Tamandua tetradactyla: one gene and its partners. The protein of the gene in region 1 interacts with the protein of each later gene in a biochemical or structural test. Links are inferred from orthologs where the notes say so. Each region holds a gene or a part of one and is shown in the gene's direction. Other genes may lie near its edges.

Region 1 (10,874 bases):
CCCAGCAGTAATAAAACCTGTCCTGGAGGCAGCCCCTGGCATGCGTGTCTGTCCCTGCATCCCTGCCTGCAGTGGGCCAGGGACCCCCATAAGCAGGCCCCGCTGCACCCAGAGGCGGTCGTGTCTCCTGCAAGTGCCGGGGCTCCCCCGGCTTGGCTGTATCGGGGGGATGGAGGGCGGAGGCCAGGGAGATGCTCGGCAAGCTGCCTGGCTGCCCTGGCCCCCAGAGGCTCAGGAGGCCAAGGGGACAGGCTATTGCTTCCTGCCCACTGGGTCCTCCCTGGCCTTGGTTTCCCAGCTGTCTGCCAGAGAGGGTGGTTAGCATAGCTCTCAAGCCTCTGCTGCGCTGTTTTCACTCTCACCACGGCCCCGTGAGTACAGGTGGGAACCGAGCTCGAGGTGAGAAGAGCGTGTCAGCCAGGTTCTCTGGAGAAACCGCCAACAGCATGTGTTGCGTGCAAGTCCACGGGTTTATTTTAAGGAACTGACTCATGTGGCTGGGGGGCTGGCAAATCTGAAATCCCCAGATAGGGTTGACCGACAGGCTGGAAATTCCATTAAGAGTAAATTCCATTAAGAGTGATGCTGAAATCTTGAGCAAGCCCACAGCTTGCTCTTTGGGCTCCTCAACTGATTGGGTGGAGCCCACCGACGTGATCATGGGCCACCGCCTTTACCCACAGATGCTGACCCATGTACAGGCCCTCCACAGCAGCAGTGCTGGGGCCAGGGTTTGTCCAAACCACTGAAATTAACCCCTGAAGTCAACAAATGCAAAGGCTGAGCCAAGATTTTAATCCAGACCCTGCCCTCCCCTGGCTCCAGAAGCCACACCCTCCTCTGCCTCCACCTGCCATGAGGATGTACCCAGATTCCAACGCCCCACCGTGTAGGCAAGCTGGTGGATGCTCACCAAGCACCCCTGGGTGCCCCCTCTCCCCCAGCAGGATCACTTCTTGGGCCCAGAATTGTGTGCAGAGCAGAAAGCGAAGCCGGGGTCAGAGTCCCAGCTCTGAGTGATGGCTGGCACGTGGCTTCCACTCCTTGCCTCAGTCTCCTCTATTAGACAGGGCTCAGGGCAGCCCCTGTTCTGATATGTTTTACAAGGTGCATCGTGGCAGGAGCTAACCCTGTGCCCCCCACTTCCCAGCACTGGGTGTAGGATAGGGTAGGCAGTGAGGGAGTGGATGAGTGAATGAGTGAGTGGATGAGGGCGTGAAAGAATGAACAAGTGGCTGAGTGAATGAGCAAATGAATGAGTGACTGAAAGCGAGTGATGAATGAATGAGCAAGTGAGTGAACTGTGATATCGTTCATTTTCCCAAAATGGCCTGGACCTTTCTAGTCCCCCATGCTCCTCCTAAGCAGCAGAGCACCACTGGGCCTCCATGTGCTCACACCAAGCTGGAGTGGTTTGGTGACTCGGCACGCTGTGACTTCCAGGCTGCCCTGAGAAGCAGCCCCACCTGCAAGGATGCCCAGACCCAGGTAGGTCTTCCACCTGCAGTGCCACCCTGCAGGGCCCTGAGCCGAGCCCACAGCGGGTGCTTTGTTAAGCAGCAGTGAGTACCTGGGGTACTGATGAACAGTGCCCAGTTCTGCAAGCATCAGCCATTATTACTGTGTGTCATGTGCCCACATACAGGACACATTCCAGAAGCAGTAGAGATTTAGCCCCCACGGGGTAGGGGCTGGAGCGATGCTGGCGAGACGGGTCCCTGCCCTCAGGGAGCCTACAGGCAGGTGGACTGAGGTCCCAGAGACCTGGACAGGGATAGGGGATCTCAGCAGACTCGAGTTCCCTGGGTGGACCCTGCTCCCCAGTGATGAGGGGGCTGGGGTGACTCCCAGTGGATGCTGATGGTGCCCACCCAGGGTCCCTCTGCAGCTCTGGTGAGTCATGGCTGCCCCCACCCCTGGGGGCCACAGCACCTACAAGGCTCTGTGCCTCTTTCCGGGGGACAGACCAGAGGACACAAACACCGCCCTGTGCCTGTCCGTGGAGCTCAGCCTAGAGCAGCCCCTCCCAGCTTCAGGACCACCACCCTGCGTGGCCCTCCCCTACCAGCTTCCCCTTCCTGGTTTGACCCTCACTGACCTGGCAGCAGTGATGAACACCCTACCCTGCCCCTTCGGCTGACACCCTCTTTTCGTGCCACCCACATTGTCCTGCCCCCTTCCCGTGGTGGCCCCTCTGCAGCCCCCTGGAAGGTTTGTCCCCTCTCCCAGCTTCTCTGGTGGGAGGCCCTTCGCACCACCTTCCAGGGCCTCTCCTCCGTCCCATGCCCTCCTATTTGGCATCCCGCCAAGTTGTGGCTTCAATTACTACCTGGTGGCCAAGGACTCAAATTCACATCTCGGGCCAGGACATGGAGGAGCCAGCTGCCTCCTGGACGTCTGCATGGGGACATCTCAAGGACACCCAGGCCTGCTGGGTCCAGTTCGGTGCTTCTGCTCAGTCCACCCCATCCCGGCTCTCCCAGGAGTCTCTGGCCTCGTGGAGGGCCCCTTGTCCACCCGAGCACCAAGGCAGTGACCAGGCACTCAGGAGGTGACCCGGATGCACACACACCCCTCCACCCCCACTGGCCACAACACGGGTTCTTTACTACACCATTGCCCCTCTGCCTCTCCACTGCTCACTGCCTGTGCCAGGGCCCCGGGGCTGCTGGGACAGAGGACCACAAACTGGCCTTGAAACAATGAAATTTACTTTGTCACCGTTCTGGAGACTACAAGTCTGAAGCCCAGGTTACAGCAGGGGCATGCATGCTCCCTGTGAAGCCTGTGGGTGGGATTCTCCCTGACCTTGCCTGACTTTCGGAAGCACTGGGGGCTGGCAGCCTCCGTGCTCTCAGCCTATGGCTGCAGCACTCTGATCCCTGCGACCACCTCCCCTACCCTGACAAAGGCACCAGTCATGGGGGGCTTAGGGCCCAGCTCATCTCAACTAGCTCCATCTGCAAAGACCCTATTTCCAAATAAGGTCCTATACAGTGGTGCCAGGGGTTAGGACTTCACTGTACCCTTTTGGGGGGGACCCCATTCAGCCCATGCCCCCACCCCACCTGAGCATCCTCACCTAAGTGGCCACCAGCCCCTGCTGGCCAATCAGAGCCTTTCAGTTGCCTGGCTGCAGTGATTGGGTCAGGAGAAAGCATGTGACTCCCAGCCAGCCAATGAGACACAGCCCTAGGACTTCCGCTGAGAACATGGGGCTATGGGTGGGAGCTAAATTGGGGGAACCAGGCCTGAGTTCTGGGACCACCTTGATTTCTGTCCTGCCTGTCCTTTGGGGGCCAGGTATTAGAGCACCTGGTGGAAGGCGTGTCCCTAGGGCCAGCTGAGGTGCTGGTGCAGCTGAGGGCAATGGGGCAGAGGGGGGTCACCATGGCAACAGGCCACAAGGTCACACCTGCGGGGGAGGGGGGCCCTCAGACCAAACTGTCACCCTACCCCCTCCATGCCCAAGTGACCAGGCAAACCCGGGCAGGGTTGGGACTCAGCCAGGTCAGATCTCAGCATGGGGTGCAGTCGGGGTCAGGGAGCAGCTGGGGTCAAGGTTCAGTTGTGGTTAGGGGTCACCTGGGGTCAGTGATCCTGGTGGGTTCTCTGCCCCACAGGCAAAAGAGCCAATCCATGACAGCAGGGTTTCAAAGAGAGAAAGAGTTTAATGCTGGGCGCAAAGAAGGAGAGCAGAAAGCCTATCAGTCCCCAAACCTGTCTCCTGGAGTCTATGGAGTTCGTTTTTTATGGATTCAAACAAGAGATGTTTTACCATCACAATAGCGAGTCCACACAGGGCTAGGACTTGTTGAACTCCAGTAATTTCAGGGATTAACTGTCTATTCTACAATCTAGAAAGAAAAAAACATCTACATAATAATTCATCAATCATAATCATTTGTTAATTCATTTTTTGGTTACAGCAGGGCTCAGCAGGGTCAGGGCTCAGCAGGGTTCCCGGCTTAGCCATGGTCAGGGCTCAACCAGGGTCAGAGCTGGGGGGATGGGTCAGGGCTCAACTGAGGTCAGCCTCAGCCAGAGTCAGGGCTCAGCTGGAGTCAAGGTTCAGCTATGGTCTTAGCTCAGTCGGGGGTCAGACTCAGCCCGGATCGGATAGGAGTCAGGGGCCAGTCTGAGGGTTGCTGCTGGATCAGGAGGGACCTCTGTCCGGAGTCAACCGCTGAGTCACTGCTGCTGGGTGACCGCCGAGCCAGGAGGACTCCATTCATCCCCAGGCTCTCATGATTTGATTCCAGCATGTCCTACCCCAAGTGGGACGGCCCCGCAGGACCCCCGCCCCGCGCGCCCCAGGCCCGAGTCTTGCCCCGAGCGTTATTAGCGCCCCGTTTGACCAGACACTGAGGATTTTCCGTCTAGGACCCGCGTCTGCAGACCGCTGCCCTCCCTCTGACACTGTCTACTTGGCGCGAGCGCCTCTTCTTTACAGATAGGGAAACCGAGGCTCGGGAGCTCGCCACTTCACCGGTATCCGGCAGCGACCCCAACCCCGGCCGCCCCGCCCTCTGGGCCCCGCCCCCTGCCGGGACGTCACAAAAACGGCCCCCAAGGCCCCGGAGGGCCCCGCGGAGGCCGGTGCAGCCCAACCGTGCCCGCCTCCCCGCGCACAGGCATCCGGGGTGCTCGTACAAGCGGAAGGGAGCCCCGGCCTCGGAGGGCGGCGGAAGCGCCAAGGCGCCTGCGCGCTCGGCCCCCTCCCTCCCGTCGGCCGCGCTGAGGGCGCGAGGCGGGGCCGGGGAGGGGGACTCGCTTCCCGGCGTGCCTCGCGGGCGGGTGCGCAGGCGTAGTCTGGGCCTGGCCGCGGTGCGCAGGCGCAGCGCGGGGCGGGGCGCGCGGGCCGGTCCGAGGCGAGGGCCGGGCGGGCGGCGGCGGTGCCAGAGCGAGTGGAGCGCTCGGGAGCTCCGGGTGGCGGCGGCGGCGGCGGCGGCGGCGGCGGCGGCGGCGGAGGCACAGAGCAGCAAGGCGGCGGCGGCGGCCCCGGCGGCTCCCCCTCGGCCGGCGCGCGGCCCGGCCCGTCTCGCGAGCCCGCGGCAGCCCCGCGGCCCAGCGCTCCTCAGGTCCCGGCCCCGGCCCCGGCCCCGGTCCCGGGCCCTGGCCCCTCCGCCGCCGCCCCCGCCGCCATGGCCCGGCCGCTGGTGCCTAGCTCGCAGAAGGCGCTACTGCTCGAGCTCAAGGGGCTGCAAGAGGAGCCGGTCGAAGGTTTTCGGGTGACGCTGGTGGACGAGGGCGACCTGTACAACTGGGAGGTGGCTATCTTCGGGCCCCCCAACACCTATTACGAGGGCGGCTACTTCAAGGTGAGCTCTACCCGGACCCGGCCGCCCCTCGCGACCCTACTTGCCTGGTCTGGGCGAGGGCCTCCTGCTCACCTCTCCCCGCGACGGCTCGGCCCGGCCCCTGGAGGGAGGAGCGCCCTGGCGGCTTTTGCAGGCAGCTGCCTTCCCTGACCCTCCCCCAGGAGACAAAGGGCCTCCCCGGCCCTGCGAGCTGCTGTTGTTGGGGAGCATGGGACCCGTGGGGCGGCGGGAGGCCCTGCCTGGGGCGACTGGCTCAGTCCCAACAAAGGCCTGGCCGGGCCTGGGCCGCCAGCCCCGGCTTGGAGAGTGGCCATCCTTCTTCTCAGCGGCCCGCCCGGCTGTAGCCTGTCCCTAGCTTTATATAACTTGCTCCCAGGATTTGGCGGAGGCTCACGGCTCTGTGTCGCCTGCGAGGCGCTGGGCGGGCGGCTTCTGGGGTCCACATCTCGGCCCCTCTAGAGTTTAGTTCCAGGCGGTCCCTGTCTCAGGCTTCGTGGTTTCACTTCCTTCCTGTTTTTGTGGTTGGGACTGGGAGGCCGTGCCACCCCTGGAGCAGACTGTTTCCGTCCAAGATGACAAGGGATTTGGGCTCAAACCAGGGGAGTTTCCATCTGGTGGGTCCTCCCGGTATGGGAGGAATGAGCCCCCAGAGCAGGAGTGCCCTCTTACACCTGCCTGCCTTGGGGGTGGGGGCAGAGACCGGCTCAGGCGGGGCCGGGTGTTGGGGTAGCTCACTCAGACCTGCATTTGCACTTTGGACAAAGGTGGCCCCTGGGCTGTGGCCTGGCTTGGTGGGTGAGGTTCCCTTAATGCTGGGCAAGTTCTGGGGTAAACAAGATGTAGGGGGTGGTAGGGACCCTGGACAAGTGTGGACAGTCCTGGGCGCACCCCTGGGTTCCTGTTGCTCAGTTCTGCCCCAGGAATCTGGCCTCCCTTTGCAGAGAACAGGTTTGGGGCTGAAGTGCGTGCTGTCTTGGTTCCCTGCCTTCTCTCGTCTGCTTGGGGGAGCAGCTGGCCTTGATGAAAAAGGCTCTACTCACAGTAGGGGTAGCCCAGAATCCCACCTTGGGGTCAGGCCAGGGCTGTGAGGGGACTGCTGGTCTGGAAGCAAAGGCTGTGGGCTGCTGTTGCCTGGCAACGGCCCTGGGTAGGCCCTCCTGGGAGCTGGCCTTGAGGGGGTAATCTTGTTTGTGTGGGCTGCTGCAGAGGGTGTGCTGCCACCTGCTGGCCCTTCCCTGTAGGGGGGCCCTCTTCCCTGGGAGCTGTAGCAGCTTCCCAAACACTTCCTGCAGCAATTCTCTCCCAAGCCACCACCCTTCCTACTCCTTTCTCCTTTGCAAATTGTGGGGGACAGAGGTGGGCTCTGCAGCAGGCACCTGAGGGAAAGGCCAGTCTGTGGCCCCAGGGTGCATGCTTCCCTTTGTGGGGCCCAAAGCATACCCAAAGGGTATCTCTGAGGGGCCAGGCAGGGCCTGGAAGGTGCTGGGTGGGGCCTTAGCCCCAGCTCCTTGCCACTTCTTGCCTCCCAGGGCCTCATGCCTGTCCCCCACAAACAGAACCCCCCCCAGTATCCCCTCTCAGAGTCCAAAGCAGGTGCCCCTATGATGCAGGGCCTGGGGTTTCCTGCTCACCTGCAGAGTCCTAGGACCAGGTACTGCCAGGACCCCCCAGCACTGGTTAAGAACAAGCACTGCTGTGGGGGTGTCACAATGATTGGTGACCTCCGTGCCCACAGGAGGGGTCAGGAACGTCAGCCCAGCATATCCTCCCAGCTCGGGAGACAGCCCTGAGAAGGCTGATGGCTGCTCTGGGCACACTGCTCAAGGGACCCTGTGGCCCAAGCCCCTGCCAACGTGTCCAGCTGTCTGCTGCTGCTGGCCACCCCAATACACTCGCAGCTGGGGCCCAGACACCTGACACGCCTCGGAGCTGCGCCACCCTGGGCTACGGGGGCCAGCTGGGCCTGAGGCCACGTGGGGTGGGCATAGGTACTTTGTGCACTCTACCGTGCTGCTGCTTGTAGTTGGAGGTGGCTGGGTCAGGCCTTTCTGTCAGGCGCCCACTGTGATACAGCCTCCCTGAGCCGCACCCCTGCACCCCTTCCCACAGGCTCGCCTCAAGTTCCCTATCGACTACCCGTACTCACCACCTGCATTTCGGTTCCTGACAAAGATGTGGCACCCAAACATCTACGAGGTGAGCTGATACCTACCTCCTATGGTGGCCTCAGTTCTCTCACCTGTAAATGGTGGTCAGTGGGCAGTTCTGATGGAGGGGCCTTGGGGCCATGAGTGGCCAGGGGCGCTGGGGCCACTCTAACCTACACCTGCCCTTCCCACCCTCACGCAGACGGGGGACGTGTGCATCTCCATTCTCCACCCACCAGTTGACGACCCCCAGAGTGGGGAGCTGCCGTCAGAGCGGTGGAATCCCACCCAGAATGTCAGGTGAGGACCCTCACGGCCCCCTTCTTGGCTCCGCTATGCCGAGTCCCTGGGGAAACACTGCCTCTCTGGGTGTCCCTCGGTCTCAGGGTAGTTTTCCGAGCTGGGGGCATTCTCTGGGCAGTACCTAAACAAGGGCTGGCTCTCCAGGTCCTGCAGAGGCCAGAGGCTGTTCAGGTTGGCAGGGGTGGCTGGGGTGCTGACTTCATGGGTGTCCAAGCACCCTACCCCCACTGGGCCCTGAGAAGCCAGGAAGCATAGGTTTGCAGGCTTCCCCATGAGGGGCAGCCACCTGAGGCCCAGCTCCTGCTCACAAGCTCTGCCGCAGGCTGGGTGCCCCAAGACTCTGGGCAGTCCCTGAGGCCAGCGCTGGCCCACTGCTCCCCAGGACCATCCTGCTGAGTGTGATCTCCCTTCTCAACGAGCCCAACACCTTCTCGCCGGCCAATGTGGATGCCTCCGTGATGTATAGGAAGTGGAAGGAGAGCAAAGGGAAGGACCGGGAGTACACAGACATTATCCGGTGAGCGGGCTCCTTCCTGCAGGGGTGGCATCAGGGGTGGCGGGGGCGGCCGGCCAGGGCCATGCTGGCTGAAACCTTGCACACTGCTGGTCACCTGCGGCCCCCTCACCTGGGGTCACAGCCAGGCCACTGAGGCAGTCACTCTAGAGTCTGGAAGATGCACGCACCCAGGCACCCACCACCAGGCCTTAACAGGGCTTTGTCCCGTGGCTTTGTTTCATCACAAAATCGAGAGACCCGAGTGACATGCCCCGCACCCCTCAGGGCTGGTGTTCCTGGCGTTGCTGGCAAGAGCGTGGCCGCGCCAGCCATGGCTGATTTCACGCGATATGAAGATGATGCTTTCTGCAGTTAGTTTCTTTTGTGCCAGGAACATTCCTTATATTTGTAGTTTTTAAACTTGGAGTGATTTTCTAAAAGAAGAAAAAACATAACATGAGCATATTTAAGAAAGAACCTTTTATGAAAAGCCACTTTTTTTCTAGCTATAAAAGCAACATGTTAAATTTATGAACAAACAGGTGAATGTTTGTGTGAAGGAGTCTTATGAAATAGGTTCTTGGTAGCATAGCTACTGGATCCAGGGACCAAACTGTTTTGTAAGTCGTCAGCTCACACCTCTGGAGCTGTTGAACCTCCTCTTCTTGCTTGTTTTTGATTTTTTTTTTTTGCTTTCTGTGAATTGCCTCCTGTGCCCATTATCTATTGTTCAGTGAGTAAACACGTGCAGCTGGGGTTTACCAAGTTGCTTTATGACAAACTTAACCCTTCGTTATGGTCTTTCTAAATGTTTTTTGTTCATCGTTTACCTTTTTATCAAAAACATGAAATGTTGAACACAGCCACTGCACCACCCAGCCATTGTTCTCCTAGATGCTCACCCAGGAGAAGTGGGCATCCATGCCCCAGGGACACTCGTGCGTACACGCCCCATGGACACTTGCACACAGATCTTCGCAGCTGCTCACCTCCTCCTCATCACCCCAAACTGGGACCGTCCACCATCCAGCGGCAGGTGGGGGCGAGCACGCCGTGGTGCGGCCACACAAATGGCTGGTGCTGACACATCCCTCGACCCTCACGCTGAGTGGACATGCTCACACGTGAGCCCAGCCTGGGTTCTGGATAGCACAGGCTCCTCAGCGGTGGCTGTCGGGTAGTGGGGTTGCCCCCGGGTGGGAGGGGTTCAACAGGATGCCCGCCACCAGGTGAAGTGCTGGCACCCTGTGCCGTTCATGTCAGTGAAGCTGCAGAAGCGAGGCTTCGGGTGGAAGGCACGTTCATAATAGAAAGATGGAAGTTAAAACGGGGAATCACCATCATCTGTAATAACCTAGCAACCGACACCTCATTCTACCCTTCTGGACTGTTTTTATCGAGAAATGAGGTCAGGCTGTGTGTGGCACCTGATGACTGTCTTTTGAGTTGAGTTTGCTGAGGTCTCGATTCCGCATAGAAGCCCATCTTGCACTGACCATGCCGTGCAGTGCTGGCGGTGCCTTCTTGAGGAGGTCCCGTGGACCCCGCATTCATGAGCGTGGTCTCCGGAAACACACTGCCCGTTGTGACCAGCATCTCCCCTGGCCATTGGCTGTCATCGTTCAGGCCGTGTGGCCTGCTCGGGTGTGCTCAGCCCCCTCCACGGGACATTGTGCCCTCCTTGTGCACCTGGGTGTGTTCTGGATGTGTGTGTGTGCACGTGGCGGCCTGGGCTCTGGGCACACCTGACAGCCCGACATTAGGGCACTGTGTGAAGGGATGCGCTAGGGGGCCGGCCCACGGGCAGGGGCCAGGGGTCTGGGTGCCGCTCCCCCAGGCTCCACCTCACTGCCCTGTCCCCCCCAGGAAGCAGGTCCTGGGGACCAAGGTGGACGCGGAGCGCGATGGCGTGAAGGTGCCCACCACGCTAGCTGAGTACTGCGTGAAGACCAAGGCCCCGGCACCGGACGAGGGCTCGGACCTCTTCTACGACGACTACTATGAGGACGGCGAGGTGGAGGAGGAGGCAGACAGCTGCTTCGGGGACGACGAGGACGACTCAGGCAATGAGGAGTCCTGACACCCCCGGCCAAAATAAACTTACAAATTTTACCTCACACTGGGACCGGGAACTGTATCGGTCCGCGCTCGCCCAACGCCGACAGACTCTACCTCACGGGAGGTTCGTGTGTTCTCTTCCCTCCTCCTCTGATTGTTCCGTTCTAGGCCGTTTTCCCTTTCCGTGTTTGTTCTGGGTTTTTCTCTGCGGCAGAGAAGCGGGGGGCGGCCCAGCCCCCTCCCCCCGGCCACAAGGGCACAGCGGAGCCCTGCACCTGCCTCAGCCGGTCTGGCTTCCAGGAGGCAGGCGCCCGGCCCGGGAGGCTGCGGGGGGCCACGGCACTTGGGCGGAGAGCCAGAGGCTTGGCTTTTCCTAGCGCCTGAGGGGATGGTTAACTCCTGGCCACCACTTCTCTGCTTTGGTTTGTTTGGAATCTAAATAAAACCACTTTATGAGAAGCTAGAGCCTCTCCTTGGCCCCAGGATGTGGAGGAGCCAGTGGCGGATTGGCAGCGGGACACTGTTGGTCCCTCCCGGCCTCACAGGTCT
Region 2 (10,761 bases), on another chromosome or scaffold:
AAGTAGCAACAGCAAGCAAGTTTTAAAAAATAAGGGAAGAAAATGACTTCATTATTGTAAAGCTTGTCATTCTCAACCAAGTCCTTTGAAAAGTTGGGAGTAGAGGGAGCTAGCTAGGAGAGAGAAGTAATTCCTAGCAGCTATATACCCAAAGTTAATAGGAATGTGCCTATAGCTATTAAAGATTTCAGGTGAAGATGCATAAGGAAGACAAAATGAGATGGTAGTAATAGGAAATTATACCACTTAAAAATGTTTTGTACTTTTTTGTAAAGCAACACTAGAGTGACTTTCAAATAAAGATTGTAAACAATCTTAACGCTTCTGTGTAGAAATAGAAGCTCCCAGGAGCACTATCTATAAATAAGTATTTCAAATTCTTGTAAATAAGGTCTTTAATATTTCAAACATAAATCATAAATAAAAACAGGAGGTGAGGTTTGCCAATTAGATTAAAGTCTACTTCAATTTAATTGCTTGATATACCTATTATTATTTAAGAAATCTTAACTCTTTACTAAAATCACCAAACAATTAACTATTCAAGTGCCGCTTTCTTTTATAATTTCCCTCCACCCCTGTCTGCCTTTGGCTATTTTACAGTCAATGAACAGCAGAATCAGCTGTTAGGGAGAAATGAAATATGAAATTCAAATAATCATGGTTTATCTCCACTCTAATCTCTACCATCACTTGAAAATCACACATAAATCCCACAAATTTTTATAGTGGAGTTATTTGCTTGACTAAAGAAGTCATTGTAGGGTTTTTCTTTTCAAAAGCATGCTTCATTACTGAATTTTTAATGTATTCCAAAATACTTATCTACACATCAGGTATAAATGCATTTAATTACTAATTAGTGAATCTGGAAAAGGACAGAGAAGACACTTGAGTTAGCTAAAGTTCAGAGAAATGAAATACAACGTATGATACTTACCTAGATTGGTCCTATCTTGAGTCTCAACAAAACCGGTATTTTTCTAATGAAAATGAAATGCCTAATTAAGTTAAATTCAACTCTTCTACTAATTTTAAATGGAATAAAAGCATCCCAGTGTCTATATACATAATATGGATCTTTTGTCTGTGATATAGTTGCCCCAATTCGAGAGCTGGAATCTTTAACCATCATTAATTATGGCATATAAATTCCTGTTAAAAACATTTCTAAGCAAAACAAAACAAAACAAAAAAAGTGCTATCAATGAAAAAACTCGAGGCTCAAAAATTGAGGCTCTTTTAAGATAACAAAACTGGATGACATTTTGAGTTGAGATCACCTTAACTTTAATGCTTCACCAAAATAACTTTAAAGAAACTGAGTTTTTGTAAAAATTCTTTAAATAATATATTAGAATCACATATATCCCACTATTAAAATTTCACAGGATTTTATTTTGACATTTTAATTGGCCTGGTTGTATCATTCAACAGGCCTTGTTAAAAAGCATGCATGGAGACCGTCTGCACTTTGGAGAACCAGGAGCCTTCAAAAGAACCTGAAGGAATTGCTAGAAAGGTTTCTCAGCACAAGCATTTCTTTCCTTATCAGTGAGAGTTTTTTTAAAGCAATCTTTAAGCAAAACTCCACAAAACTTCCCATAAAACCAGTCTGCTTACCTCCTATTTATAAAATTTATTTCAAATACATCTTGCTGGCAGTCTCCTCTAACACTCCCGAGAAGGTCAGTCATGAGATACACAAAACAGAGATCGTTTTATTTTTTACACTTTGCTATAACTGATTTATACAAATAGGACTTGAGATGTTTTCAAGACAGTAATATCAATTACCGACTCATGCATCAACAAATAAAAAGGGTACTATCAAGATAAATTTCCATTGATGTCATTTTTAAGTTTTTGTCTTCATTCTCTTATTCTATACTGGATATCCTAGAGACACAAAAAAAGGAAACCTGGGAGTGGAAACATTTACTTTTAATAACAGCATACTCTGTGGATATTTTATTGTGCAGTTTCCATGGTAAAACATATTTTAAATGCCCTTCTATTCTTTAAAAGTAAATTATTATGGAATCTTGAATAGGGCCTGAGATTTGGTTGGTCTGCTCAGGTAAGTGGATTTCTCAATAAATCCCAGAGTACTGTGGGCAATGAATAAAGAAATATTCGCAAAGTCCGCTTGGCAGACTGGGGAGAAAGGAGGAAATATTCAACTTCCTCATTTGGAGAATTTCTGATACTCTTGCAAGCAGTGGAGACAACCAAATCAATAGGCCAAGCCCTCAGTCTTGGGGTTTGTTCCTATGGAACTTATTCTTGCAAGGGATAGGCTAAGCCTACTTAAAATTATACCTAAGAGTCATCCCCAGAGAAACTCTTTTGTTGCTCAGATGTGGCCTCTCTGAGCCAACTCTGCAAGTGAATTCACTGACCTCCCTCCTACGTGGGACATGACTCCAGGACGGTGTAAATCTCCCTGGCAACGTGGGACAGAAATCCTGGGATGTGCTGACACCTGGCATCAAGGGATTGAGAAAGCCTTCTTGCCCAAAAAGGGGAAGAGAGAAATGAGACAAGATAAGATATTCAGTAGCTGAGAGATTTCAAACAGTCCAGAGGTTATCCTGGAGGTTATTTTTATGCATTATATAGGTATTCTTCAGTTTATGGTGTATTGGAGTGGTGGAGGGAAGTACCTGAAACCATTAAGCTGTGTTCCAGTAACCTTGATTCTTGAAGATGACTGTATAGATATAATGTTTACAAAGTGACTGTGTGACTGTGAGAACCTTGTATTTGATGCTCCTTTTATCCAGGGTATGGACAGATGTGTAAAACAAAATGGATTTAAAAAAAATAGGGGAGACAAAGGTTAGAATGAATTGAGTATATGGAAATACTAGTGATCAATGAGAGGGGTGAAGTGTATGGCATGTATGAGTTTCTTTTTTCTTTTTATTTTCTTCTGGAGTGATGCAAACGTTCTAGGGGATGATCATGATACGAATACACAACTATGTGATGATACTGTGAGCCACTGATTCTGCACCATAAGTGGAATGTATGTGTGTGAAGATTTCTCAATAAAAATATTTGAAAATTATAGCAAAATTAAAACTAAAAATTGAAAAATAAAAAATTAACCTAGCAATTAAAAACGTTTATTTCTTCCTATGTGTAACAGATGAGATACATTTTCCCTGGAATCTGTATTTTTAAGTTTCCCTACTGATAATATTGATATCGAAACTGTATTTGATACATGATAACTCTTCTCAAAGTAGGTTTCTCTACATGGAATCTAGCTGTTTCATAACGTATAAACCCTTAACAAAATTCAGACATTTCAGGCTTATTTCCTTAGCAATCAATGCTGACAGTACATCAAAATATCAATGGCTTAGCTAAGTGTTTGCATTGTTCAGTTTTAGTTTGAGAAATCTATATAGAAGGTACAAGACATGTGAGAGCTTTCCAATACATTATTCCAACAATAAAGCTGGCTCAATTTTCTGGCCCAATGTTTACTTGGAGAAAATATAAATTTGGACAGACTCAGAAATGGTTAGCTGTACCGGTAAAGATGTGTCCAGGATTCCTTATGTCTATTAATAATTTGAAACCCTTCCTTAATTTTCATGAAATGGCCATAATTCTAAAGACGACTTCATATGTCAATGATGCAATGACTCCCCTCAATAGGAAAATAGAATACAGTAGAAAACCAGAAGACCTACGGGACCTGTTTCTTGCTAAATTCATCAGTAGAAGCAAATTTCAGTAACAATGCAAAAACAAAGACTAAAAAAGCTCCTGTATTTATACATTTAATAAAAATTTATTCACATTGTCTTACAAAAATAGGGATACAAAATACCAGTGTAAATACATGTGAACACTCAACCAAATGATTCCACGCTGACCATTAACTCACTAGGAAAGCATATGCTTACACTGATCCCTTCAGAGTCACCAAAAATGTCTGTGATTATCAACACTTAACATGAAAATACTTTGTTTTACTCATTCATATCAAAACCATTTAAATATGTCTTTTTAATTGTATTTGGATCAATAAGTAATTCTTTAAAAATCATTTTTATTAATACTTAATTAGCATTTATTGGTCAAAACATTGTTTGAAATTTACCTACCTCTGGGAAGGGGGAATTTTTTTTTAAGTTACTTTTAAATTCAAAGATTTAAAGGCTGCTATTATTTTATTATGTGGAAAGAAACTTGTAACCCACGAAAGAGGATCAACAGTAGTAAAAAAATGTAGCATCCACAAGGAAAAAAATTGTAACTGTTTGAAATAAAAAGTTATTGATCAGTCTTGGAGATATTGTGTACACCTTTGTTTTTAACAATACAAAACAGCTGCAAATATACTGAGATCATGATCTAAAATCGTATTTCAAAAATCATGACATTAATCATAGGCATTTGAATTTGAGTTTTAAACTACATATTTTCAGGTTTTCTTGGTGTTAGTTTTTAATAACTACAAGACAGAGAACACGAATAATTAATGTAACCTAATACAATTTTCATACCTGATCTGCGCCTCTAGGATTATATTCAAGGGAAGGTGGTTGCACTCCATCAGTTTAGCAAATAAGCAGAAACTTGATACAAATCACGTAGGTAAGCCACACTGTAAGAAAGGCTCTTAAATTTTTACTCAGACTTCCGGGCTGACCATGTAAGTCAAAATTTCTGAAAATTTGACTGCATTATTTAACACAACGCAGAAAACGTCTAAGTGGTTGCCAATTTAGAGCTCTGGTATACACGTAATGGATAGCAGGATGAAGAACTATGCTGAATAATGCACTTATTCCCTACTCGACAGGTTCTAGGAACCTTGCTAGGTGACCCTAAAAGGGCAAACATCAGAACAAGAGAAACTGCGCTTTCTACCAGCTGGAACGGATTTGTTCCTCCTTCACAAGCAGTATCTCATCAGACCTATCGTGTCCGGACTCAAGAGATTCAATCGCGATGCCCCTCTTACTCATATTTCAGAAGAAATGGGTCACGTCAATTCATTTCTAGACCGAGTACATAAAACTGAGACGAAGATGTTATTAATCGTCGGCTGCGGTAAACAAAACCAACATTCGCAATTCTCGTTTCTTTTTTTTTTTCTTTTCTCCCCCTTTCCAAAGAGTGAGAACCGCATTCATGAGAGCAATAAGGCTTTTCCGACTTCTCCCAAGTTCAGAAGAAGTCGAGGAGGACTTAGAAATCTGCCGAGCCCGTTTCAGGCCTAGGAGAGTTATCTGATTAAAATTAAAGCAACGAGCGAGCCAACTGGAGGAACGAGGTGGACGAGGGCGCTAAAGCGGACGCGCTGCGCATCTCCACAAGGGCCAGGGGGCCGGGCGAGGTCGGCCTGCGGAGGCTGCGGGCTCCAGTCCTGGGCCGGGCGGCTGGTGGCGTCTGGCAGGAGGCGCCGGACTCGGAGCGGGAAGCCCCCGGGGCCGCCCGGCCGCCGAGCTGGGGACGAGCCACGTCTGGGGCCGCGGTGCTCTCGTCGGGGCTGGTCTTGCTGGCGGGCCCGGAGCACGGCCCACCTCGGTCCCGGAGGCCGCTCCCGCTGGCGACCGGGTTGGACACCGGCCGCCGCCGCCGCCGCCGCTTCCTCGGCGGAGCCCGGAGCCCGGGTGCCCGCCAGCCAACCCGCCGCAACCCCAGCCCTCCGGGCCGCGGACCCGGGCTCCGCTCCGCCTCCTTCCTCCGCCTCCTGCTCCCGCGTCGCCGACTCCTAGGTCTCTAGGTCCGGGGCAGACGCGCAACTTACCCGCCGCGATGAGTTTACGTAGCGGACCTCGTCACTGATTACGGACGGGAGGAGGTGGGGACGCCGAGCCGGGCCCGCCGCTCAGGAGCAGCGCTGCCACCCAGCAACCCCGCGCTGGCGCCGGCGGCGGACCCACGTAGCCCCCACGTCAGCTCTGATGCGGCAGCCGCAGCCTCTTCGCCTAGTCGTCCCCAAATGTAGCGCCGACGCCGACGGAACCGCGTCCCCGCGCCCTGTCCTCCCCTCCCCCACTCGGCGACCGCTCTCCCCGGGAACGCCCGGAGGGGAAGTCCAGGCCTGAACTCCGCCCCCTGCCGGCCGCCAGCGGGAGTGCGGCGCTAACAATCCAACAATTAAATGGAACGGAAGGGGGGGGGCCCTACGCCGCGGCTGGGAGGAGGAAACTGACCTGGGGGTGGGGAGGAAGCCCGGGCGGGGGTGGAGCCGAGGGGCGGCGCTGGGAACCGGAAGCACCCCGAGCGATGCTGGAAAAGTGACTTGTTGCACACCCGCTAGCGGCCTACATTTGTGTCGAGAAGTCATCTTTTTTCCCGGCTGGCAGTCGCTGCAGCCCCGGTCAAGGTCTGTGGCCATGGCGGCTCGGTCCCGGGTCAGCAACACGTTGTGACAGGAGCGGGCTTCGGGAGAGCGCCGCGTCTCCCGCGACCGGTGACTGGTCCACCGTCCTGAGGAACGTCTGGGGCCTGCGGGACCCCTGCTGGACGCGGACCCCTCCCGGAAGTCCGGCTGCCCGCCTTGTCCTAGCTTTCTGCCGCTTCCCCGGTGACCTTGGCACAAGTTGCTCTTCCCAGTGTTTCACTGTCGCAGAGAAACGATAGTCCGCACTAAAAGATGTGACGGAGGAGAGTAAGGTTTTCTCTTAATAAGCAAAACCCCTGCCTATAAAGGAGGAGAGCTGAGTTTTCAGCCAAGTGGAAATCTTGGGCTTTCAAGTTAAGGTTTGTGAGAGGAACGTTTCTAGACCTGTTGTAAACTATACACCTATTTGTATATACTTAATAGGATACTACGTCGTCTTTAACACTGGTGTAGTAGGCTGTCCAAAATTTAGAATATTGAGCCTAAAAATAAACCGTTTACACTTAGGAAAAAGTAAATTCCTAACAATGATTGAAAACCCAACTCTGTGATAGTCAGGAATTCACGCTGGAAACCTCTGTCAAGGTCAACCCCTTCGGTACACTCCTTGAAGAGTTGCTGTGAAAATAAAAGCATTTATCAGTGTAGTGCAGGCAGAGAAGGGAAGCTTTGTGAGATATTGGGGAAAGTCCGTGCAGGTTCGGAAAAATGCTGAACTCTTGAGCGGTAGGTTTTGACCAATCTGGGCCAGTAAACTAAGCAGAGGTAAGAGAATAAGTACCCGGCAAGTTCATTTCCCTTTTGGCACAGGCAGAATTGTGTAGCAACAATGCTTGTCCCCACCTTTTAAATATTAATTTCTTATTGAGGAACATTAGCAAATTAATAGAAAGTCAAAATAAATACAAAGTTAACCACATCCTGTTTGAGTGTGTAGTTAGACGAGGCTGACACAGAAAATGTATCCATAAGTAATCAGTGCAGCTCATTTTAGCCCAGAAAAAAAATGGGTCATTAGGAGGAAAGAAAACTAAAAAGGGCTGGACTACTAAATCCTGAAAAATTATACTATTCATTGTTATGAAGGTTGATCAGGTGATAGAAGTCTAGTTAAAATGATTTAGGAGAAATTGTGATAATTTCTGTTTCCGAAAGACTGTTCTCCACCTACTTGATTATTCCTAAATTTCCTTAATGAAGGATAAATTATATAGTTAGATTTTGTTAGAGAAAGTGCGTAAAATGGAAGTATGGAGTGGTAAGTGACATATACTAAGATGTTAATGTCATATCGAATCCTCAAGGGCAAAGGAAGAAAAGTCCGGAAGACAGTGCCTAGAATCTCCAGGGAGAGGACAGAAGTTATCAGGAAAGGTAAATGCAGTTTCCTATTGCTGCTATAACAAATTACCACAAACTTGGCGTCTTAAAACAACCCAAGTTATTATCTTACTATTTTGTAAGTCAAATGTCTGACACAGTTCTCACTGGGCTAAAATCAAGGGTTGGCAGAACTGGAGGCTCGTAGGAAAGAATCTGTGGCCTTGCCTTTTCAGCTTCTAGAGGCGGCCGGGATTCCTTGGCTAATGGGTTTCTTTCTTCCTCAGTCTTCAAAGCCAGCAACAGTTGGTAGGAGTTTGGTTCATGTTACCATCTATTTGATTCTCTCCTCTCTCTCCTTCTTCCACTTATAAAGACCTTTAAGATTATGTTGCCCCACCTTGATAATCTGGAGTAATTTCCCCAATCTCAATGTCATTTTATTAACAATATTAATTCCATCTATAACCTTAATTTCCCTTTGCCACCTGTCTTTGTTTGCCAGGGCTGCTGTAACAAGTACCATAGACTAATTGGCTTGAACAACAGAAGTCTATTGTCTCATGGTTCTGAAGGCTAGAACTCTGAAATCAAGGTGTCATCAGGGCCATGCTTCTCTTAAAGGGAAGAATATCCTCCATATCTCCCCTGGCTACTAGTTTGTTACAGAATAGCTCAGTCTCTGGCTCAGTCACATGGTCATTCCTCTCCCTGTCTCTTTCTCTGTGTCAGAGTTTCCTTGCTTGTTAGAATACCAGTCTGATCAGATTAGGAACCACCCTACTCCAGTTTGGCCTCATCTTTACTAATCACACCATCCTATTTCCAAATAAAGTCATAGTTACAGGACCAGTGATTAAAATTTAAACGTCTTTTTAGGGGACACAGTTCAATCCTTAACACTACATAACTGTTATAGTCACAGGTTATAGAGATTAGAATGTGAACATTTTGGGGGACCATTTCTCTGCCTACCTGCAGGAAAGGATTCCAAAAGAAGCTTAAGTTCCTGAAGATAAACTACCCACCTCTCAGTATCATCTCTTCCAAAGCATTCAACCATTTGATAAGAAATTTTAATAACTGATGTTTCACTTTCCCATATCTATGCCTAAGTAAAGATTATAGTAATTTTTTTTTGCATGCTGTATGGTGGGGGTAGCATTTCACTCTTTTTCCATGTGACTATCCTGTTATTGCAGCACCACTTGTTGAATGTGGGGAGAGGGATAGGGTGGGGGGTGGAGCAGAAAGTGCATGGGCTGGAAATAAAACCTGGGTCTCCCACATGAGATTGTAGTAATTTTTAAAATGGGATATCAGGGATTAAGAAGAGCAGCAAGGTTATATTCTCATTTTCTACCATCAGCCTGGGTAGTGCCAGTGTCCTCATAATTTGCACTGAATAGAACCTAGTCTGTATCCAAGACATATCTTTGTTCAAATCTGATTTTCATAGATCACTTTCAGAGAACTGTGTTCATAAAAATTGTCTCTATCATAGAAGAGCAATTGTATCAAACCAAAAGAATCAAAGCCATGGCAATTTCTTGTTTTCAACATCTATTTTACAATGTTCTGTTTACTACCATAGCAGAAACTATGCCTTTATTTTTAGCATCTGTGCTGGTTTGAAAGGAAGTATGCCCCCTAGAAAAGCCATGTTTTAATCAAAATATCATTTTTTGGTAGAAATATAGATTTTGAAGATACCTCTGATGAGGCCTTAGACAGAAATGAGGCACGTGTTACTAGAGACTGGAAGGTCCCCCAAAATGTTCACATTCTAATCTCTATAACCTGTGACTATAAACCTGTGTCCTTGTTTTAAAATGGCAGATAATCTGGCAAAGCTGATTAGTGGCTTTGGCTGGAAGGCAGATTTTAAAAGCCGTGGACTCGGATATTTAGCAGAGGAGATTTCCAAACTAAATGTCAAAAGTGCAGCCTGGTTTCTCCTTGCGGCTTATAGTGAAATGAGACAGGAAAGAGATAAGATGAAAACCGAACTCTTGGCTCTCTCCGCCGGACCGCCGCGCGGCGCACGCGCCCCGCAGCAGCCGAGCCGCCCGACCTCCCTACCCCCTCTCTCTCTCCGCCGGACCGCCGCGCGGCGCACGCGCCCCGCAGCAGCCGAGCCGCCCGACCTCCCTACCCCCTCTCTCTCTCCGCCGGACCGCCGCGCGGCGCACGCGCCCCGCAGCAGCCAAGCCGCCCGACCTCCCTACCCCCTCTCTCTCTCCGCCGGACCGCCGCGCGGCGCACGCGCCCCGCAGCAGCCGAGCCGCCCGACCTCCCTACCCCCTCTCTCTCTCCGCCGGACCGCCGCGCGGCGCACGCGCCCCGCAGCAGCCGAGCCGCCCGACCTCCCTACCCCCTCTCTCTCTCCGCCGGACCGCCGCGCGGCGCACGCGCCCCGCAGCAGCCGAGCCGCCCGACCTCCCTACCCCCTCTCTCTCTCCGCCGGACCGCCGCGCGGCGCACGCGCCCCGCAGCAGCCGAGCCGCCCGACCTCCCTACCCCCCTCCTCCCCCTCCTGCTCCGGCTGCTCTCCAACCAACACGGTGCCCTCTTCCCCCGCCTTCACCGTGCTCCTCCGCCACCAGCCTCGACAGCCTTGCCGCCCTCACCTTTCCTCCTCCAGAACAACTACTGGGGGAGTGGAGATAATACAGAGCAGCTCCCGGAGCCACGAGGGAAATCAAAGGGACAGCGTACCCCATCCTGGAACGGCTGACTATCTGGGAGAACCAGCTCCGGTGAGATCACCAAGGGGCACGGGCTTTCCTGGGTGGGACAGCCAGCGACCGGAGTCCCTCCCTTCCACCTTCCCAGGCCAGCTGGTAGAATTGGACAGGCGGTCCCCTTAGGCCGCGGCGGCTGGTGCCCCCACCACACGAGGCCCCCCGGAAAAACTGAGATAGTTGGGTCGGAAATCCCCAGACTGCGGAGAACAGTGACCGGGGGATCCCTTCCAAACACGTGACTCCCCCGTCGGCTGGGAGCAGTGCACTCTCCCGGGCTGCGACAGCTGGCGCCCTCCCGCCACGCTTGGTGCCCCGGGC
Region 3 (10,453 bases), on another chromosome or scaffold:
CCCACCCTGGTTGTTTGCTCCCACAATGTCTTATCCCTCAGGACCAGGAACATCTCATCCGATTGAGCTCCCCATGGGTTCCAGGTCTTGTTCCCCCTATCTCCCTGCCCCTCTCCCCAACCTACTATGCATAGTGACCATCTCCCCACAATTCACACACACACAAAAACTTGCAGCAAATGAAGTACCGGGACCGTGCAGCTGAACGCAGGGAGAAGTATGGCATCCCTGAGCCGCCAGAGCCCAAGAGAAGGAAGTATGGTGGCATGTCTACGGCCTCTGTGTAAGTGTCCAGGGCCAGGTGAAGAGGGCCTGGAGGCTAGCAGGCTGATCATTCACACTGTACTATTGTCCTCTGCAGGGACTTTGAGCAGCCCACGCGAGATGGGCTGGGCAGCGACAACATTGGCAGTCGCATGCTCCAGGCCATGGGCTGGAAAGAAGGCAGTGGCCTGGGCCGCAAGAAGCAGGGCATTGTAACGCCCATTGAGGTGAGGCTTCCATGATCCTACCCCCCATCCCCAGTCCTCCCTACTACAACCCCATTTTGCCCCCATCTCCCCACTAAACTGACAGAACCTGTCTCCTTCATACAGGCCCAGACCCGGGTACGGGGCTCTGGCCTGGGTGCCCGGGGCAGCTCCTATGGGGTTACTTCAACAGAGTCCTATAAGGAGACACTGCACAAGACAATGGTGACGCGCTTCAATGAGGCCCAGTGAGCAACCAGGAGATCAATTTCTGCATATGTTGGGTGTCCATCCTGGGGCAGGGGAGGATGAAATTTTGGATAGTCTGAGGAGTCCCTACTTCTACCATCCAGCCCACTCCCCACCCAGGGAGGCCTGACCAAATCACACTTTGAGCTGGTGATTTTTATTGAAAAATTGGGCTGGGATCATGTTCTTTTTATAATAAAAGCTGAAAAGTCTACAGCTTGCATGTCTCTCTTTTTCCTCTTGTCCCCATATTGACAGGGACACAAACACAGATAGATGTTCAAGGGACCTTGTCAGGCTGAGGTGCGGGGCAGTGGTGGTACATGGTGACTATCAGCTCATTGGGAAGGTGGGGACAATGTGGGGTTCTGGCTGGTGCCCCCAAGACCCTGGTTACAGCCTCTCACCATTGTCAGGGTCCAGCAGGCCGTTCTGTACCAGGAAATCCAGCACCACCAGGGTACCATTGGGCTTGAAGTACCCCTAGATCTGCCTCTACAGAACCAGGAACTCAGAATACCCCCATCCCTGGCCTCATAGCCCCCCAGCTGCTCTTGATACACAATCTGGAGTCTACACTGTACGTTGCCATCCTTGGGCCTGGGTACAGTAAGTAACGTTGGGCATCTCCAAGTCAATACGGCAGGCACTGTCAAATCAGTTCCACTGCCCTAGACAGGCTAATGACCCCAGGGGGTTTGAGATAGAGAAGGCTGTCTTGACATGGAGGTGAGGTCACACCCATTCCTGGGCTTCCATCTCCATCCACAAAATCCCCATCCTCGAGCAGCTGGATTTTTCAAGTTCTTCCAAATCCTCCCACTCTGGTTGTTTGCTCCCACAATGTCTTATCCCTCAGGACCAGGGACACCTCATCCAATTGAGCTCCCCATGGCTTCCAAGTCTTGTTCCCCCTATCTCCAGGAACTCAGAATCCCCCCATCCCTGGCCTCATGGCTCCCCAGCTGCACTTGATCCACAATCTGGAGTCTAAAGTGTCTGCCAATCCCAGGTCCTAGGAATGCTCCCATGGGGCACTGGCATCTTCCCCAATCCCCTCCAGTCCAAATCTTGAGCGATTATTACCATGGTGTCCCCCTCCCCAGTCACTGCCAGCTAATCATCCACCTGCAGTTCCCAGTCATGTACGGTGGAATCTGAAGCTGGGCTTCCCCCTCTGGGCCAGGGAGGACTGCACTGTGAAATGGGACCAGGGACCCACCACCACGCACTTCCCCCCTCTCCCCACAGAAACACATGGTGGTGAGTTGAGAGGAGGGTGGAAGGAAAATGGTGTAGGAAGATCATTTGGCACTAAGCCTCTCCCCCCACTTAATATGCATTGTGCCACCATTCCCAACCATTTGTGTGCGATGAGTAGTGAGAAGAGGCCCCTAGAGGAGGCAATGGTGCTGGTTTGGGCAGAGGGGGTGGGTGTTGCTCAGTGAGAAATGGTGGGAGAAAGGAGAGGAAGGGGAAAGTAAGCAGAAAGGAGGAGGTGTGAATGAGGAGAGGAAATAGGACTAGAAAGAGGCCACCTCAGTCTCAGGATAGGTGTACCTTTTGGTGAAGATGCAGTATTCCCTCTTCCTACCCCCAGAGCACAGCACCTGCAATCCTACAGCAGAAAACCCTCATACATTGAACTATCATACATGTCTGGGGGTAGTGTAAAATGGTTCAGTCACTCTGGAAAACTGGCAATTTTGTATAAAATTAAACACACACTTGCCCTATGACCCAGCATTCCACTCTTATTTACCCAAAATAAATGAAAACGCATGCCTACAAAAAGACTTGTACCTTATGTTTATTGCAGCTATATTCATAATAGCCAAAAACTGGGAACAACTGAAACATCTAACAACAGGAGAATGAATAAATTACAGTATATTCATTCAATGGAATATAGTTCACCGATAAAAGGGAACAAAATACTGATACAAATATTAACATGGATGAATCTCACAGGCAACGTTGAGTGAAAGAGTGAAACACGAACAGTACATACCGTATGATTCCATTTATGTAAAGTTCTAAATTAGGCAGAACAAATTTATGGTGATAGAGCAGTGGCAGGGGTAGGGAGGATGTTATTCACTGGGTAAATGGTCATGGGTGGTCTCCGCAGCTTGTGCCTAGCAATAGGAATGTTTCAGGCTATGTGAAAGAGATCCTTCCTCATCTCTAACGCTCACTGCTGGCCAATCAGCCACCTGGAATTCCCAATCATGTGCAGTGGAAACTGAAGCTGGGCTGCCTGTCCTGGGCCAGGGACTGATTTGAAGAGAATAAATGGATTTTGCACCAAACCACAGGAAAGCCCAAAAACTCCATCCCACTCTTAAACCTACAGAGTGCCATTCCACAAATCTATAGATAGGGGGAGGAAGAGCCTGATAGGTTACTTTAAAAAAGAAAATGAAATCCCAGAAACTGTCTCCCTTGTGATACTCGATGCTGTAAAAAACAAGATCCAGGTGAAGATCAGCTATATAAATGATTGCCCTGACAGTGGCAGGATACATTTTGATAGTTATTGAGGAAAAGAAAACTGACAAAAGAAATGAGTCATTAACTAGCCTGAGCTCATTAAAACTGAGTAACAGAAGCATCTGTGATGACTGGATTTTGAAAATCAGAGAGGAATGTTACAGCAACTAGTCTGTATTGAAAAAGAGTGTGGCATGAGGATCCATTTCATAGAAGTATGGTTTGCACATACTTGCGCCATTACCTATTTCTGCTCTAGAGGTACAAATAGATTTTCTTTAAAAATTACATATTAGGAAAAGAACGAATGATGTCTTGTGTAATTTTATAAGGCTACTGTAATTTTGATCCCCCAAAGAGATGAGACTATACAAGAGAAAATTTCAAGCAAAAATTAAATATTAGCTAAATGGATCCAATAGTATATTTAGCAAATATATTTTGATCAGTTTTTCCCAGGAATGCAAAATTGGGTCAACATCAGAGAAGCTATGTAGGTAGTTCTGTACATTTACAGACTAAAAGTAAACAAACATAACCTCAACCACAGAAAAACAATTTGATAAAATTCAAGAATCCGTAAATCTGTACTCATAAGTAAATGGAGAAAGGAAAGCTCTTCCTTACAGTAGAATGCCAACTAATAATTCAGAACAAATGATGGAGTTCGAAAATCATTTATGAATGGTAAAACTTGTTAAACTTTACCGAGGAACAGGATATTAACATAATTTTATTAATATCAAGCATGTCTCAACTAACTTCGTATTTATTACAAAGGGAGAATTAGTAATTTTACAGTAGAGAAACCTGGCAAAAATGCTGTCTTAATCAAGGGATCAAAGTTAAAAGGGATCAATGTTAAAATCATGGAATAAGGATGGAATAAAAAGACAGCATCACTTCTGGGATATTTCCATGCAAGATATTAAACCTGAATCTAATCATGAGGAAACATCAGACAAATTCAAACCAAAGAACATTCTACAAAATAACTGACTTGTAATCTTCAAAGGTGTAAAGGTCATTAAGGTCAAGGAAAGACTGAAGAACTGTTCCAGACTAAAGGAAACTAAAGCAACATGACATTCGAATGTTCAAATCTCGCCTGCCAGGGCTACACCATTTAAAATTCCATTCCCTCCCCTATCACACTCCCTATGCCTCTTCCTTGGTTACTTTTCTCTCTACTACTTCTCCACTTGTAACATACTAGATACATTTTACTTGCTTTTCTGTATTATGTATCTCTTCCACTAGCAGGAAAGCTCCAAGAGGGAAGGAATATTTGTTTGCTTTATTCAAGGCCTAGAACATGGTTTGGCACATACCAGATCTTGGAAACACATACCACAACTGTTTGAATCACTCTCATCCTCAAAACTTCATTTTAAAAAGGCTAATATATAAAGAAGTTTTAAAGGAGAAAAAGCCATAGAAAGTACAACCAAATAGAAAATAAGCAAAGGACACGAATAGAAAGTTCCCAGAAAAAAACAAAAGCAAAAAATCCTTAAACCTATAAAAGATGTCCTAGCTTACTAATAATAAGAGAAATGCAAATAAAAATGAAACCGGATTGGCAAAAATCCAAAGGCTTGGCAATACACTGTGGGTGAGGCTGTGAACAAACAGGACTTCTCATTCATGCATTGCTGAAGCAATGCAAAATGGCACGGCCCCCCTCTCACCCTATGCCTCCTTCTCCTTTTCTTGCTTTTCTATCTCCATAGCATTTAGCAGTTAATGATACGTTTACTTATATAATATTTATTCATGTGAATACATAAAATACATAATATACTGTATTTACTATAAGACATTTATTATATGCAAAAAGATGTAAATCTTTTTCCTTATAGCTACTAGCTCTCATATAAAATATGTAGTATTTATATGTATGTCATATACAATGTATATCATATAATTACGTTTATTATGATACATATTTATATGTGAAACTAGAACTTTTACTTACTTATTAAGTTTATGATCTGTCTTTCTCCCTAGAGTATCAGCTCCATGAAGCCAAGGGAGACTCCCCAGCACCTGGACCACAATTTGAGCTTCATAAATGTCAAATGAATGAATCCTTTGGCTACCTGAGCCTTAGTCTTCCCATCTATAGGACAGGTGAGTCTATCGGTCTGGAGGCACCCCCATGTTCCGCTCCTTTCCCCCTTCTCCCCTAGCGCAGTGCCGGGAATCTCACCTCCCTAGCTTATATTTTCTCATAAACTGGGCGCTCTTGCCCACCACGTGCAACAGACACTGGCCAGATGGGACTACCACGTCCAGTGTGCCCCGCGCCGTCCGGGAAGGACCAAAATCTGTAGGGGTGTCTAGATCTGACAGGGGTGCCGATGGCGCGGGAGCACGGACGAACACCCCTCCTTCCAAGAGTCTGTGGTACGGCCCAGAGTGGGGGCCCTCCAAGGCCCCGCGCTTCCGAGCTCCGCGCAAACTCTCACTCCTATTGCGAGACGGAGGTGGTTTGCTCTTCCGTTGCCCCGTGGCTTCGGCTCATCTCCAGCAGGAAGGCGAGGCCTCCGCTCGGCGCAGGGGGTGAGCTGGAGCATGGTGACCCTAATCCCCTGGACAGCATTTGGGGGAGGGAGCTCAACTTCGGGGATACACTAGTGAGCACATTTGGAGGCTCCATACCCGGGGTGGGTGGCATTTAGCGGTGTCTGTTTTGGCAGGGACTCTTGGGAGGTGGTGTTTGGGGACTCCGGATGGGATTTGGGAATCTTTTTGGGAGCCCCCCTAGGAGGCAGGGTTTTGAGGGGTGTTTGGGAGAACTACGGGGCCCATGTTTGAGTACGCTGTCCATGGGGCAGGATTTGGGGTGTTTCCCAAGGGTGGGAGAGGAGGAGTTTAAGGTTCCTGAAGTCAAGGCGGGATTTTAGGAGGGTTGGTTTTAGGGTTCTCGTGACAGTGCTTGGGAACGTTCAGGACCGAGCTGGCATTAGGGAGGATCTGTGGCCTCTGTGATCCTGGTTTCATGATGGGGACCTCCCACACTTGGGGATCCAGGATAGCGAGACTGAACACGTCGGAGCCCACACGTTTTGGGGGAGAGGAGCCCCAGCCCAGGCTGGGGAAGAGCTGCAGGAGCCCAATCCACTAATCTCTTCCTGAGAGGACTTGGTGCCACCAGGCCTCCATTGGCCGCGGCTTTATTCATTATTCATGAGGAGGTGGGGCCGTGGGGAAAGCAGATTTTTGCCTCTTTCGCACCTGGTCTGGGAAAGCGTCGGGTTGTGAATTATTCATAAGGGGGCGGTTCAGCGTGCTGCAGGGGCGTTCTGAAATCAGCCACGCCAAACTAGAGCTCATTGATTATTCATGCAGGTGAGTAGAGCCCTGAGTCTTCTGTGACCTTTCTAGGGACGTTGGTCATAATTCGCGAGGGGCGTGGCCTTTGTGGCTTCATTTACGTGATCAGGGTTAGATTCTCGTATAGGTTCCAAAGGGGCGGGGTTTCGCGCATTGTTCGTAATACCTCACAGCCCAGTATTCCAGGTTATCAACAAAGGCTCTGCATTCCAATCCTATCGCTTTTGCCAGTTGTGTGGTCTTTGGCAAATCTTTCTGTGGGCCTGAAAAATAGGTATGAGGATAATGATAAGATCAACACCCACTCATTTATCACTTCGTTAGCCCATTTAATCTTCACAACAATTCTAGGAAGTAGGTTATTATTATCCCCTTTATAGACGAGGAAACTGGGACACAGCCATATAGCGAGGCTAAATAATTTGTGTAAGGTTACACAGCCAGTGAGTAACCAAGCCAGGATTCAAACCCACTCACTCTAGTTCCAGAGTCAGCATCTTAACCAAATTCCACTCACTCTAGTTCCAGAGTCAGCATCTTAACCAAATTCCATGATTTACACCTCCCCCAGTGTAATAGTGTTGCTACTAATGTTAGTCAAATCGCACTTACTATACTATGTGCCAGGCACTATTCTAAGTGCCTTATACATATTTATTCATTTAAACACCATCACAAGGTAGACTACTATTCCCATTTTACTGATAGGGAAATCAAGGCGGAGGGAGGTGCAGTGTCTGGCGCCAAGTCACACAGCTAGAGTAATCAGTAGACAGAAATGATTTTTGTGAGGATTTGAGACTTCTATAAGGAGATCACCTTTGAGCTGAGACCTGAAGGACAAGAAGGAACTTGTTTCCTCCTCTATATAACAGAGCTCATAAAAGCACCAACTTGCTAGGGTTTTCCTGAGGATATCGGTGTCATGGTGCATATATAAGGGTACACGACAGGAGTAATCAGTTAATGTGATTTATTATTGTTATTCAGCAGAAATGTATTGGGTGCTTATTATGTGCCTGGAGCTTTGGTATACAGTGTGTCTCTGGTGACCTAGTAGTCTGTCCTACCTAGTTCGTGGACTGTGGTGGCCATAGCATTCTGTTTTCCAGTGTTTTTCTGGGAGCGCACTTCAAAACAATATATAATATTTTAAACATTTAACATTTAGTGCGTTGTGCTGGCGCTGTTCTAAGCTCATTCTGATCTTCATAATAACTCATTTCACTCTTTTGAGATGGGTGGGTTCTATTACTATCCCCATTTCACAGTTGTGGAAACTGAGGCACTTGCCAAAGGCAAGTTTGGTTGAACCAAAACAGATCAGGTTGATGAGCAGTTTGTTGAGGGTGGGGAAGGGAGGCTTCACTCTCCCTTGGTTTTCTCTGTGGCTGGGCAGTATTATTCATGAACAGGGAGGCGTGGCCACGTTGCCTTGGCAACTAGGCTGCAAAACCATAATCCCTCCCTGCTGGGCGGGTCTGTTTTGAGTGTCTGTCCATCCAGCTTTATGCATAATTCATGATAGCTAGGTGGGACCTTTCTGATCTCTCTTGGTTTCCACGTTGAGCTGCAACAGCAGCGTCATTCATTATTCATGGCCTGAAGGAATGTGTTTTCCCTGCAGTAGCCCTATTTCCCTGCTTACAGGGTATTAGATGCAGCAGTAGGCGGGCCTGTCCCTTTTGTTCCAGCCCACCAGGCCTCATGGGTTATTCATGATAAGGATAAGAGAAGTGGTCTCGTTGGCTTCCCGGCCGCTGCAAAATCATTCATTATTCATCAACAGTAGGGTGTGGCTTCCATGTTCTAACATCTGCTTTCTGGTTGCAGAATGTTAGTCAATCAACCACCCGATCATGCATAATTCATGATCAGGAAGCATGGTCCTGATGTCCTTTCTTGGTTACTAAGGCAACCTGGCTGCAGCAACTAATTCATTATTCATGTAACCTGGGGCAAGGCCTCTTTGTAGCTTTACCTGTTTTCCCAGTTAGTGCCCTATCAACCACCAGGTGGAGCTATTTACCTCCCAACCGTACGAGTCATACAAGGGTTGAAGACCTCATTCATGATTCATAAGTGGGCGCGGCCCGCTTGCATCCGGGTTTCTGGGGGTGGGGCCCAAGGTTTTGTTCCGGCCTCGGGCTCGGCAGCCGCCATCTTGTGTCGGCTGCTGAGGTGAAGGAGGCGGCAGGGACTAGCACCACCACAACGGCTCGGGAAGGAGAAAGCGGAGGCCCAGGCGGCGATTCTAGGCGGCCCAGGCGGCGGGGAGGAGGAGGAGGGCGGTGGCCGGGCTTGGCTTCGGCTCCTTGAGGCGTTGGCGGCGGCGCGACCCGGGGAACCGGCATTGGTAACAAACGACCTTTCTCATCGCCTTCCCCCGAGCAAGGGTTTCGGGATGCATTGGAGGAGCCTGGGCCGGCACTGGGTCGGGCTGATGTCGGAGCGGGTGGTAATGACTTGGTCGCTAAGGGTCGGCTGCGGGGGAACAGATCCTGGGGCGGGGTCAATTCCTGTCCGGGGCCAACCCCCCCATCCCGAGCTTAGAGATCTGACCTTGGGGTCAGACCCCCAGCACCTGCTTTTAGAAAGTCAGGTCCAGCATCTCTAGTCAGAGACCTGACCACCCTGTCCCGTACCTTGCATCTCAGATCAGAACTACCCCCAGTCGCCAATAGACAACCATGCTCAACATTGTTGTTTAAAGCCCCCTGCCAATGCATGCCATTAAAGACCTCCCCACAGAGTCTCCCTTCCACACTCCTAGACCCACAGGATTTGGCTTCACAGCTTTCAAGAGGGGTCCAACCCTGGAGAGAGTCCATCACTTCTCCTGAAAGAGAACCTTCTTCAGCATCTTTCTTCAGATGTACCACCCTCTTCCCTCCTCTTCTCTCCCACCCCATACACTATCTGCCCTCAGTTCCCGAGGAGACAGACCCTGTGCAAGGCCATTGGGCCTGACTTCCTTTTCAGACTCTTTCACATCTCATCAATCTCCCAACCCCACGCTGGCCTTAGCATCTTTCGTCAGCGACCCTCCTGGGGCCGGCACTTTTTTCAGAGACACACACCCACTTAAGCATCTGCTTTTAGAGATTCCTCCAATCCCTGGAATCAGCCCTTAAAGACTTGTTCCTATGTCATCTCTGACACCCCCAGCATTTGTACTCAATGACCCACCTAACCCAACTCCACCCTAGCCCACTGTCTTCTATCAGAAAACTCTCTGGGCCCAACATTGTCCTTCAGACACAACCCCAGTATCTACTTTTAGGAAATGACCCTTTTTCAAGGTCCCAGTATCTTTTTCAGAGACTACCCTTCAGAGGCTTCCGCCTTTCCCACACCCTTAAGTATCTTTCCTCAGCACTTTCTAGGGGACCAGACACCAAGGAAGAACTGTTTGGACATATAATCCTCCATCAGAGGTCTCTCCAGAAAGTGTTTGCCCTCACAGACCCTATTGAGCCCTAGCCACCTCTATCAAAGACTTACCTCCCTAACCCCACCTAAGACTCCATCTCTGCCTTCAAAAGCTGACCAGAATTACAGCTTCTCCTTTCACAGATCATTTAACCTCAGATCAGATCTCAGAATCTGTCTTCAGAGCATTTCAGGGGTCCCAGCTTCTTCAGTCAGAGGCTCTCAGCTTCTGCTTTCAGCCTCATAGGATTCCAAGATCATGGTCAGACATCTTTTTCCCCAACAGGTACAGTGGTCCCTCATAGTAAAGAGCCCCCTTCTCAGCATCTCCTCTCAGAGCCTCCATGGACTCCAACATCATTGGTCAGAGAAACCTAAACCTGTTTCAGGATCCAGCCAATGCTTGCTTGCTGAATTTTCTGGGGCCTAAATGGTCTGGGCTCAACCTCCTCTTTCCACCTCCTCTGAAC

The links.
Region 2: the proteins of CDC34 (region 1) and CUL2 form a complex in vitro, tested with the Homo sapiens proteins (2 studies listed by BioGRID). The link is inferred for Tamandua tetradactyla from reciprocal best matches to the Homo sapiens genes CDC34 and CUL2.
Region 3: of the proteins of CDC34 (region 1) and UBA1, one has a biochemical effect on the other in vitro, tested with the Homo sapiens proteins (7 studies listed by BioGRID, with this or other methods). The link is inferred for Tamandua tetradactyla from reciprocal best matches to the Homo sapiens genes CDC34 and UBA1.

The regions. Positions count from the first base shown.
Region 1 is NC_135337.1:82,391,162-82,402,035, reverse strand, and holds CDC34 (ubiquitin-conjugating enzyme E2 R1), read left to right. Parts: upstream 1-5,107; 5' UTR 5,108-5,144; coding exon 5,145-5,321; intron 5,322-7,430; coding exon 7,431-7,517; intron 7,518-7,670; coding exon 7,671-7,768; intron 7,769-8,093; coding exon 8,094-8,288; intron 8,289-9,130; coding exon of another isoform or gene 9,131-9,161; exon of another isoform or gene 9,162-10,121; intron 10,122-10,133; coding exon 10,134-10,347; 3' UTR 10,348-10,384; downstream 10,385-10,874. UniProt on the Homo sapiens protein: E2 ubiquitin-conjugating enzyme that accepts ubiquitin from an E1 ubiquitin-activating protein, and catalyzes its covalent attachment to other proteins by an E3 ubiquitin-protein ligase complex. In vitro catalyzes 'Lys-48'-linked polyubiquitination.
Region 2 is NC_135327.1:216,103,100-216,113,860, forward strand, and holds the start of CUL2 (cullin-2), read left to right. Parts: upstream 1-6,030; 5' UTR 6,031-6,358; exon of another isoform or gene 6,359-6,735; intron 6,736-7,680; 5' UTR 7,681-7,750; intron 7,751-10,761.
Region 3 is NC_135353.1:123,055,940-123,066,392, reverse strand, and holds the start of UBA1 (ubiquitin-like modifier-activating enzyme 1), read left to right. Parts: upstream 1-5,630; 5' UTR 5,631-5,777; intron 5,778-6,738; exon of another isoform or gene 6,739-6,825; intron 6,826-8,680; exon of another isoform or gene 8,681-8,907; intron 8,908-10,453. Other genes in the region: RBM10 (RNA-binding protein 10), read left to right, coding at 177-283, 362-491, 597-722. UniProt on the Homo sapiens protein: Catalyzes the first step in ubiquitin conjugation to mark cellular proteins for degradation through the ubiquitin-proteasome system.